Linked DNA regions of Caenorhabditis elegans. The protein of the gene in region 2 purifies or fractionates together with the protein of the main gene of each other region. This does not show direct contact. Each region holds a gene or a part of one and is shown on either strand. Other genes may lie near its edges. The genes, in order: disl-2 and F17B5.1.

The links.
Region 1: the proteins of F17B5.1 (region 2) and disl-2 fractionate together in Caenorhabditis elegans (co-fractionation; one large-scale study listed by BioGRID). This does not show direct contact.

Annotation. Positions count from the first base shown.
Region 1 is NC_003281.10:5,441,266-5,447,292, forward strand, and holds disl-2 (DIS3-like exonuclease 2), read left to right. Parts: upstream 1-1,901; coding exon 1,902-2,005; intron 2,006-2,052; coding exon 2,053-2,362; intron 2,363-2,614; coding exon 2,615-3,823; intron 3,824-4,009; coding exon 4,010-4,489; intron 4,490-4,534; coding exon 4,535-4,723; intron 4,724-4,773; coding exon 4,774-5,028; 3' UTR 5,029-5,241; downstream 5,242-6,027. Other genes in the region: T24G10.2 (DM2 domain-containing protein), read right to left, coding at 1-39, 483-1,241, 1,292-1,375, 1,420-1,464; skpt-1 (F-box domain-containing protein), read right to left, coding at 5,371-5,566, 5,617-5,779, 5,830-5,963. UniProt on the Caenorhabditis elegans protein: 3'-5'-exoribonuclease that specifically recognizes RNAs polyuridylated at their 3' end and mediates their degradation.
Region 2 is NC_003279.8:13,182,868-13,188,799, reverse strand, and holds F17B5.1 (protein-disulfide reductase), read right to left. Parts: upstream 3,949-5,932; 5' UTR 3,871-3,948; coding exon 3,817-3,870; intron 3,687-3,816; coding exon 3,523-3,686; intron 3,454-3,522; coding exon 3,039-3,453; intron 2,987-3,038; coding exon 2,804-2,986; intron 2,756-2,803; coding exon 2,553-2,755; exon of another isoform or gene 2,313-2,552; coding exon 2,189-2,312; intron 2,140-2,188; coding exon 1,937-2,139; intron 1,771-1,936; coding exon 783-1,770; 3' UTR 608-782; downstream 1-607. Other genes in the region: rgba-1 (Defensin-like protein), read left to right, coding at 5,028-5,348.

The DNA.
Region 1 (6,027 bases), on a different chromosome or scaffold from region 2:
GGCGTCCAGGTCGGCTTCACGCTTTTTTGCTTGTCTTTCCTGAAATTTTTGATTTTTTTAGAATTGAATATTTATAAAACATCTTTTAAAAATTATCAAAATTTGGAAAAATACCAATTTTCTCCTTTTTATGTGTAATTTTAAAATTAAAAAATCTAGAAAACGTTATTTTATCGAATTTTCCGTCATTTTCGGCATTTTTTTCCAATAAGTTTATACAATTTTATCAGGGAGATTCTGCTGTGTTTTTTCTGAATTTATTTTAACGAAAAGGAAATGTCTTCGAATTGTGATACTATCGTCTAAAAACCTCGAATTCTAATTTTTTTATAGTTTTTAAACAAAATTTAATCTTTTTTAGAAGATTATATCACATCTAATTTAGAAAAATCAGCTGCAATCAAAATTTTAAATTGGTTTTCCGTTGTTACTCTGAAGAAATTCAAATTTTCAGGCGATTTTTGCTCAAATATTGTCCTCACCTTCCACTCTTTTCTACGCTTATCCATTTCGGCTTCAGCCTCTTCTCTCATTTCCGGTGCCATATCACTGGTTCCAATGATGTGTCTTGTCAAGAATTTTACCATTCCGAATCCCTTCAGACGATTCTTCTTGAAGATCGACTCAAGTGTGCTATCACAGATAATGTATTGTCCGTTTTTTGGATCCTTCAGATTATTTTCCTTAATATAATCCCAGAGAGCCTTCACCACATCGCAACGCTTCATCCACTGATCTTTGGTGACTTGTTGAAGCTCTGTGCTGATATAACAGAGCTTTGTCATTGGTCCAAAGACTCCAGACATATCTGCATTTGGATCCTTCACCTTCTTCTTCTTATTATTCGCAAATCTACCTCCTTCCGAGGTATTTCTGATCTGTTTCAGAGCGTCCGAAGCAGCAGCTCTTCTTGTAGATTTGATGCTTGATGCCATATCTGGTGGAATCCTTGTAGTAGTTTTCTTTCCTCTCTTCTTCCCGTCCATAACAGCATCTTCAACACCGCTATCCGAGTCGGAATCCTCTTTCACCTCTTTTTTAGCTTTTACTGGCAGCTCTTCTTTCTTGACTTTTTCTGTTTTCTCCTTCTTTTCCTCCCCTTCTTCATGATCACTATCACTGTCAGTTCCACCATCATCTGAACTATCTGAGCCATTTTCATCATTTCTTTTCTTAATTTCTTCGATAACCATCTTCTTAAGCTGCGATTTATAAGAGTCAAAGTTGATATTAAAACGATTCTGTAAAGTTTTTTGATAAATAGTTGCGGATTCCCACGCTTTGAACTCACATTCATATGCCTTACGATATCCGATGGAGTTAATTCGTCGAAACCTGGCTTGCGAACCAACAATGCGATTTCCTCCTCAGCAGCCTGAAAATTTACATGATTTTCTTTAAAATTGTGCAATAGATTACCTCCTTGTCCATGGGGAACGAAGAAATAGGCTCCTCAGTTGTCATTTTGACCTGGCTTGATTTTACCCGACAGCGATCTGAAAAAACCAAAAAAATCAATAACTTATCGTCTAATTGAATTTTAATTGGCGGACACGGTTTATGGGGTAATGTTGTATGATGAATAGGTTCAGATGGTAGTTGAACATGTATTTATTCAACTATAACTTGAAAATCTTTTAAAAAAATCGGGAAACAATTCGAATTCTTCGTGAAATTTTAAAAGGCCCGCCTCCCGAAACCGCGTTGACAAGAAAATAAAAGAGACGACTACGGTGAAAATTGTTATGTGCACGGTGTTTGCGGACTTGCATACCGTATCCTTTCCATATATTTCCATGTTGTTTTGATTGTACTTTTTGTAAATTTTTGTTGCGAAATTACACTTTCCTCTTTCCTCTCGTTTCTTCTCATAATTTCCCCCAAATTACCATTTATTCTAGATGTCAGCAGTTGAAAGTCCCGTTATTGTGACAGAGCCCGGTTCGTTGAAGCCGCAGGGCCTCACTCAGACAGCTACAGGCGGAAAGTTTGGTGCTGCCGCTACGTAAGTCATAATTTCACAAATTTCTCTACTAATCTTATGTTTTTCAGAGTCAAAACCACTCCAACAAAAGCAAAACCATATGTGAAGCCGCAAAATGCAAATAATTTGCAAAACAACTTCAATCCGCGGAAAATCTTCACCGAATACATATCAAAGGAGGAAACAGATGCCGGAATCGAAGACGGTTCAATGTTCAAAGGTGTCTTGCGGATAAATCCAAAAAACTATCAAGAATGTTTTTTGGATCATCCAAAAGGCACAAATCATCCAGATGTTCTTGTTTTGGGCCAAGATCGGAATCGTGCGATGCAAGGAGATGTGGTGGCTGTAAAGATCAAGCCAAAAGAGGATTGGCTTGTACGGTTTAATCATTTGAAAAAAACAACTAGAACTGATTTCATCCAAATAATACCTATTTTTCCACGAATCTTTTAGAGCTTTGTGGATATTCTTCCTGTAGATTACATAAATTTATTTTTAATTCTAGGAATTTAAAAATGAGAAAAAAGAAAACATCTAAAATCCATTAAAGCCTGCTAATTTCGAATAGTTATATGCAAATTATGTTCACAAAATCTGAATTCTTCGAGGAAAAAACTATTTTTCCAGGTAAACTATGTGGAATATGTGAAATGGTGGGCGGAGCACAAGAAAGGAGATCGAAATAGCGGCAAAACGGACAACAATAGCCCAAATAAAACAGAAAAACGATGTCTGCGCAACGAAATTCAAGACAATGGAGTTACAAGTGACGAAGTTCCCGATTCTTGTCTCATCACCATCGGAGCCATTGTTCATATCCTTGAGAAGAAACATTTCCGTGTAGCCGCCGGCAAGCTCCAGCTAATGCCAAACAGCGCGAATCCCAACGTGTTGTTCGTTGCTACAGATTCTCGTGTCCCTCGAATTCTCATTCCAAAATCCGATGTGGATAAGGAGTTCTTCTCACGCCCAAAGGACTTTGAGAGATTCCTTTACACAGCTAAGATCACTGATTGGCGCGCTGAATCTGTTTATGCCGATGGAAGACTCGTGAAGCTTCTTGGCATGTCCGGAGAAATCGATACAGAAACTGAAAGAATCGTCTACGAGCACCAAATCGATCACAGAGAGTTCAGCGACGAATGCCTCGAATCACTTCCAATCACTACAGCCGAAAACTGGAAGGTCCCTGATGCCGAGTTCGAGTACCGAAGAGATTTCCGAAGTGACATCGTTTTTACAATCGATCCAAAAACCGCTAGAGATCTCGACGATGCTCTTCACGCGAAACACATCGATGATTGTGACGGAAAAGGAACTCCAGGCCTTGAGATTGGAGTTCATATTGCTGATGTTACATTCTTCCTGAAAGAAGGTACAGAGCTTGACAAATGGGCATCCGAACGTGGAAATAGTACTTATCTATCACAAACTGTAATTCCAATGCTTCCAAGAATCCTCTGTGAGCAGCTGTGCTCTTTGAACCCTGGAGTCGATCGCCTCTCCTTCTCAACTGTATTCAAAATGAGCTACGAAGCCGAGCTGTATGATGTTTGGTTTGGAAGATCTGTTATCAGATCCCGTGTTAAACTTGCCTACGAACATGCACAGGATTTCATCGAGAACCCGGAGAAGGACTTCACATGCGACGAGCTTCCCGATATTTCAGATGGAAATACGCCTTTTGAGATCAAGGAAAAGACTCTGATGTTGCACAGAATCGCGCAAGTTCTTCGACAAAAGCGTGAAGATAGTGGAGCATTGCGGATCGAGCTTCCCAGATTGAAATTTGCATTGGATGAGGATAAGAAGCCACAAGGAGTTTCTATATACGAGGTTAATAAACAGTTTTTTGTTAAAGAAAATGTGTTTTTATATTAATTTTTGTTTTCAAACAGCAATTTTTTGGTCACATTTTTTCGGTTCTAGCAACAAAAAAGTAATCCATAAATTTAGATTTTCAAAAATCGGAAATTTAAAAAGAATTGCCAATTTTATAAAATACAAATGTTAAAATTTCAGATCAAAGATTCGAATAAACTCGTAGAAGAGTTCATGCTGCTCGCCAATATGGAAGTGGCTAAAAAGATCGCTGAAAATTTCCCAGAACACGCCCTTCTTCGTAATCACCCGCCACCAAAAGAGAAAATGATAAAGGACGTGGCTGAGCAATGTGCAAGAATTGGATTTCCATTGGACGGAAGAACGTCTGGATTACTTTCCACGTCACTTCGCAAGTATCAAGGAAAATCCCGTTTGGATATGTGCATTCGACAAGTAATTTCCTCATTGACAATTAAGCCAATGCAACAGGCGAAATATTTTTGCACTTTCGAGATGCCTCTTTCATTTTATCATCATTTTGCTCTCAACGTGGATCATTATACACATTTCACATCGCCAATTCGTCGGTATCCAGATGTGATTGTTCATCGACAACTTGCTGCTGCTCTTGGTTATAATGAAAGATCTGAAAGAGTTCCTGAAGAGATACAGGAGATTGTAAGTTTTCAAACACTCAAGAAATTTTTGCATTTAAATTTTCAGTGCACCCGCTGCAATGACACAAAGCTCGCATCGAAGGAAGCTTCGGATGAGTCTGCGATGCTCTATTTTGGAGTTTTCATCCATCAAACCGGTCCGATGAAGTGCCAAGCTGTTGTTCTTGGTGTAATGGATCTCTCATTCGACGTCCTCATCGTTGAGTATGGAGTTGTGAAGAGAGTTTATGTGGATGTGAGTATAGATTTCAAACAATGACGAAAAAAAAATCCGAATAATTTCAGAAAATGAAGCGAGACTTCAACAAATCGACCGAGAAGCTTACCATTTACTGGCCAGCAGATCCGAATGCGGAATCCGGAAACCGTGAAGAGTTTTCGAGCTCAATTCAAATGTGCAACGTGGTTTACGTGATTCTCGTGCCGTACAAAAGCATTGAAGTCAGCGCGACAATTGTTCGTCCGAGTCTCGAGCAACGTAATATTCTCAAGTCGACTCTCAAGGACATGAAAGAAACGGGCTCAACAATTCTTCAGTAGTCATTCGGATTCAGTGATCTCCTCCAGCAAAAGCTTTTTTTCCTTTTTCAATCCTTTTTTCCCCTTTTTCTATCCTTTTTTTCCCTTTTTCTATCCTTTTTTTTCTCCTTTATCCTTTTTTTCTTTAAATTCCATTTTCCCGTTGTATTTTTTAAAACGCGTGTCCATTCCTCGTCCCGGTTACTTTTGGTGTCGAATGAAAATGCATTATTCAATATTACTAGCGAAACTTTTATTTGACAAGTTTTGGGTGTTAACTGTCACGTAACTCGTTAAGAAAATTAGAAACTAGAGAAATATAGGACAATTGAGAAGTGCAGTTAAAATAATATGTATTGTTATCTATTCGATATCCATCATTGTCTGTCCCCAGATCATATTCGACTCGCATTGGTAGCTGACCGGTTTGGCGGTGAAGTTGAAGTACTGACGGTTGACCTTCAGATTGGAGCACATTTCGAGGAAAAGCTCCATGTTCGTGTCAGAGACGCAGCCATGAACGTTGAGATAAACGAGCGAAGGCTTACTGTTGAAGTGTCTGGAAATGTTTTGTTTAAATAAATTAAACTAATTTTCAAATAAACTCACACAACCATATTAGGGTCCAATCCGTAGCATCGATTGAGAGAAATTGTCGTAAGTCTCGGGAATTTGTTCAGAATCACTGCGAGGCCTGGATCACTAATCTCGACGTTATCCGACAAGTCGAGGTCGGTGACGTAGTTGGATTTTGCGGCGAGAATCTCAATATCTGGAATTTTTTACAGAAAATTAGAAGATTCTGACAACAGAGCCGCTCACGTTTATTGTTGATGCCGAAGTTTCGAACTGTTCCCGAGAGATTCAACTTTTTGAGCTTCTCGCCAATGGAATGAATGATTACGGTCACAATTGGCTGTGTTAATCCACACCACGCCAGATTCAGTTGTTGCAGGCTGAAAAAAATATTACGAAGGTGCACGGGAACAAGAAATATGTTACAGAAATTATTTAAAGATA
Region 2 (5,932 bases):
ATTGCAGGCCTCCAGCCTGTCCTGCTGGAAGTCAGGTTAAAAGTAGCCAACATGTTCAAAAAGTGCGGCCCTCAATTAGATTTGGGAAAAAGTAAAAATCTCGAAAAGTCTTCAAAATTGAGTTTTCCTCACGTTATTAAAAATAAGAAATGAAAATTATCGAATTCATCACCAAAAATAGAGAAAGAGAGAGAGTGGTAGAAAAGTTTTTCACGTTTAATTAATCTTTTTGATTTTGCAAAAATTGAATGATGGTCTACATTTTGGAAAGTGGGCCAATTTTTTTCAAAATAGTTTCAAAAAATTGGAAATACGAAGTTCTCTCTTGCGCACAAATTGGAACCAAATGTCAGAAAAACTGAAGATTTGGGGCTGAAAAAACATGAAATTCGTCAGTACAAAGAATACATCCATTTCGACCATACTCCAGAATTCCGCTCAAATCAGTGTTTTAGCCTTCCCAAAAGCGCCCCCCCCACAATGATGACGATGGAAGGCGCTATTTTTGTAAGCTATTGAAACAAATTGCTCAAAAAACCGCCAATCCTAAGCCAAGATATAAGCTCTCAAAGTGCAGTCACATTTCTCGGGACACCCCATGTCGACAACGTGCCCTTATTTTTTATTTCTGTCAAGAATGCAATTTCAGGATTTAATATAGGAAGAGGCAGATTAGTAAAACTGATCTAATACTTGCGAAGATTTTCTACACAAAGAGCATTTAAAATGAAAAAAAAAATTAAATAAAAGTGAACCAGAAACATAAAAATCCTTTTCGCACTTCAGTTCAACATTGCTTTCCAATGGTTGACCAATGCTTTCGGATCGTTGATCCATTGAGAAACTAGATTTCGTCCATCATCAGTAATAACTGTTCCATCGGGTTTCATTATTATTAAGGCAGGAATATGATTTTTGGTATTTCGGTGCTTCATTGAATTGCACAAATTGAGTGGCAAATGGAACCAATCGCCATGGAAATTTTGCAAGTAGAAGTTCATTTCTTGTGTATTATTGTCGCTCGAAACGAATAGTATTTCGAAGTTATCCTCTACTTGACTATAGAATTGTGCAAGAACCGGAGTGAAATCGCGAGATGGCGGACACCAATGAGCAGAGAAATACAGTCCAACCACTTTTCCATCGAGCACTCGCTCGTTATATGTTTGAGATGGATGTTGGTGCCTGATAAATGTGAAATTTTGGAGGAATGTGCATTTATTCGCCTGCTTTTTTCTTTCTTTTTCCTGTTTTTGCCTAGCTTTCTCTTCTGCGATTTTTCTTTTCTTTTCCTCTTCCAGAGCTTTTTTTTTCTTCTCTTCTTCAGCTTTCCGTTTTATTTCCAGTTCTTCCTTCTTCTTCCTTTCCTCTTCCAACTCTTTCTTGCGTTTTTCTTCTTCATAAATTTTCAATTCTTCCTCCGCTTTTAACCTTGCTTCTTCCTCTTCCTGTTTTTTCCTAGCTTCCTCTTCCAAAATCTTTCTTTGTTTTTCTTCTTCTTCCTTGATTCTTGCTTCTTCCTCCTCTCTCTGCTTCAACTCCAGTTTCTCCTGTTTCTTCTTGGATTCCTCTATCGATACTTCTTCAATTCTTTTCTCCAATTTCAATGTTTCCTCAAGGTCAATTCGAACGTTTTGTTCAAGCTCATAGGTTTTCTCAGAGTGCTCAATTACTGTAACTGTACTATGAGAGTGTTCAGACGAGAACTCTGAGATTGAAGAACGCAAAGAAAGCGACTTTATCCATTTGGAAACTCGTTCTTGTTCTGGTCTGAAAAATGAAATTTTTTTAATCATAAGGCTACGTTGAAGTTGAATAGTACAACAACCAAAGCTATAACCTCATCTTATTGAGGAAGTTAGCGTTATGTGAACATACAACGGAGTTAACATTTTCCTCTGTTACTGTAAAAAAGGAAAAATTTTTGAAAACCAACCTGTCAAGAATCTGAAGCTTCAATTCAAAAATTTTGAACATATTGTCGAACTTTCCAGAAAAGCACCCGAATTGTTGCTCGATACTTTCAAGGTGCTGAATTATAAGTGTCAAGTGGATTGACTGAAACTCTGTGTGCTCCAAAATGCAAATGATGAACTGAGAAATTCTTTGTTCAATTATCTCTCTATACGTCCACTTATCCTATAACTTATTCATCAAAAATTGTCCTGATAATTACTTTCAAACTCACGATTTTTATTTTCAAGTACAATAAAATCAGAATATTCAGAGTGTCCATGCATTGGTCGATGTGTTGTGTTTGGAGAAGAGACAAATGCTCATTTCTCATGAAAACTAGCATCTTTGCTTCATAGCTACAAAAAAAGGTTCATCAGTTTAAAATCTAGAAGTCCGCCGATAGTTTTTTAGAAATGTTTCAAACATTGAGCAGAAGTTGGACAGACATCCGATTTTCTCCTACTGCTCATAGTCTCACCAACGTCTTCCAAAATCCTGACAAAGTTTGAAACGGCGTTTGGCCGAAAAGTGCGTTCCAAGTGTCGAAGGAAATGTGAGAGTCCTGGATAGCAATCAAAAAGATTTTAATAACAAACCTGTCAAACATCTGAGCTTTCGCTTCAAAATGTGTGAACATAATGTCACACATTTCCGTGAAATTCCCAAATCGTTGTTCAATACTTCCGAGGAGTTCAGTTATCATGGTCAAGTGGCTTGACTCAAACTCTTTGTGCTCCAAAATGAAAACGATTACCTGGCAAATTCTGAACTCAAAGTTTTCCCTGCACTCCAAATCATCCTATAATTTCTTAGTCAACAATTGCCACGAGCATTCTTTCAAACTCACAATACTTATTTTCATGTAGAAAATCATCAAAATTCTCAAACTAACGATGGATTGTTCAATTGACTCATTCTCCCAATTCTCCCAATACAGAAGTACATCCGTCTTTGTTTCATCTCTACCAATTGAAAGGTGTATAAGTGCCAGCAAATGATATTTTTCTGAGTTTTCGTATTCCCAAGTTGCCTGTAATGAGCAAATCACTGTAGGCAAGAATACTAAATCTCTAGCAACCTACCATCCCAATAATAATCCCAAATGCTACTGCATAATGTCGTTGATCAAGATTTTCTAGAAGTTTCATGATCTCAGATGTCCAAAATGTAACTTCCATTTTCTTTTCCAATCCGATTAACTTCTCGCATATCAATTTGATCTTCTGTAGATCAATGGAATTATCGACCGAACACCTCCAAGAAGCATTCTTCACTTTGTAGCAAAATTTGTCATTGGGAGAAGTTAGAATTCGAATTTCCTCTAGTCCAGAATTCAAAAATCCCACAGCTTTCTGTTGTCTCCCTTTGAAACTTGCGATCTTCTTTCTAAGACCTTCATATTTGTTTTTTGAAGATTTCAATTCCAAATGTATTTCTTTGGAATTCGACTCATCGTCTTGATTATCACTTAATTCATCTATCAGTGACGCAATATTCCTGTAAACATAACAATTATAATTAATTACTATTTTCTTATTTAGAAAAAAAAAATAGAGAATAACTAACTTCTCCTGAAACTCAATATCTCTTTCCACAAGAAATTGTTGAACTTCTATGGAATCCAATAGTTTTTTCTTTGCAAATTCAACAAGTTCTTCTTGAAATCCGGGGATTACAGAAAATTGTTCAAGTTGATCAACATTATTGTCTTGTTCTAGATGATATTCATTCTGAAAAAAAGGGTTTTTAACCAGGTAGGAATTGAGATTACCCTCAGGCTTTGAAATGATAAAACCAAATTTCAATCGGAAAATTTTTCAATTAAAATATTTACTACATAGTAGGATTCCAATAACTAACCTCAGCCACAAGTTCGAGAATTCTCCAAGGGTTTCCATCAATCGACTCTGTCATTTTGCAGCCCAAACTTCAATAAAAATGAATGTTCGAACTACTTGGTCTTCTCTATCGTCCTTAAAAACGGAGTTTATCACCAAAACCGAATTATCGTAAACAACTTATACTCAACATTCGCCAACACTGAACAAATAAGTGAAAACTATGAAAAAGTTTATCAGTAATTTTGTGTGATTTGTTCTGAAATAGATTCGTAAAAGTACATCTCTAAATTCAAATTAATGGAATTTTCTGAATGTACTTTTGTTTAATTTGATCACGTTCTTTAGGAAATGGAAAATAAAATCATATGGCATACAATACAAGGTTATGAAATGTTAATTGTGATGCTCGCTCGTGCTCTAGTTGTTGACTTTCAATATCAATTTCTAAGTTTAGTATCCCATTTCAGATTGTTTCAAAATTTGCCTAGTCCCTCGAATTAAAACATGCGTCGGTGGACTAAACTACATATATTTGTTCGAACTTTTGAACCTTCCCAATCATTGAGAGCACAACAATTGTCATATTTTTTTCAACTAATAATTGTCAACAACTTTTTGAACAGCTGCCCCTGCACGGCGATCAAATGTGTCACTTTGCCTTATTTCTAGCCAGAAACATGTGCAAAAATGCGCTCTCTGTGCTTGACCGTGACAAGTTTCCTGTTGATTTAACATTACAATTTTGAGTTTTGTTATTCTCAATCACCAATCCACAGATTTGTCTGCCTACTGTATGCCCACCCACTTTGTTTAAAAGCTGAATCCGTGTTGAAGTTTTATCTGCTACTTCCACCATAGTGAAGGACTCGTTCAATCTAACCGGCCTCTTGATAGTAAGTAAAAAATTTTCCTTTATTTTATTCTGTGTTACTATTATATACTTGGAATGGTTCCTGAAACCGTTTTCATGATAAAATTTATAAAAAAAATTCAAGAAAACTTCATGGAGGTTCAAACATTTGTTTAAAACATCTAGATTCAGCAAAAACCTGAAAGTTTACCAATTCTGCTGAACTATAGCTTTTCTATTCTTTTCTGTTAGTCTAAACAGAAGAAAACCAATGAAAAAACAAAAGCAATCTCTTTATGACACTGGGTTTCTCGGTGCCATTTCGAGTTTATTAGAATATACTCAGAAATTTTGTACGAACTTCAGAACAAAGTTGGAAAATGTTTGGGCACTCGACTTCCTTCTGTCTTTTGGCTTTATTTGTGCTCTCGATGACAGTAAATTGTAAAGATCCTTGGTATGACTGGAAGGTAGGCAAAGGCTTGAATGGACGATCATCGTTTATGGGATACCAATTTGACTCGCCACTCGAACGCAACGCTATTAAGGGATATCGATATCTTAGTACTCGTGGTAGAGTCACAGATTGCAATAGCAACTGTAGATACTATTATAACGCGAACTCAGGATATTGTGCTCCTTCACGATCCAATGATTGCTCTACCTACTGCGGTTGTGGTTTTGTCTGTAGATGTAGATAGATAGATAATCTTGTTTTAAAGGTGGAGTAGCTTGAATTTGCGAATACTAAAAATAGTAATTCACTCTACTCCGCCTTCAATTTAGAGAATATGACAAATGTTTGTGTTTTTTTCCTCTGAATTCGCTATTTCTCTACACTTTCCACTAGTTTCTTAGAGTAAACCCCAACTTTTTTCAAACAACCTGTGCAATGCAAAAAAGAGGTTTTTACCGATTATTTGTCATATTCATTTGCTTCTTTACAATCTCTTCAATTGTTAATACTATGACATCATTAATAAAACTATACACCTTGATGTTAAACAATGCTTTCAGAATGAAAAACCATCAAATTAGTCGAATCAGACTAAAACAAAAAAATTATGCCACAGTGCGGACTCGAACTCTGGTCGTTAGACTGGTGGCCGGCCAAAAACTCACTGAGCCATTCGGACATTTTTCCTTGAAAAAAGTTGGAATTTATGAAATTTTACGATATCGAAGTGAATTTGGAGTGCTTTTTTCGAATACAGAGCTATCAAATTAGTCAAGTAGTACTGTAAAAAAATTATTCCACAATGCGAATTCGAACCCCGGTCTTGTG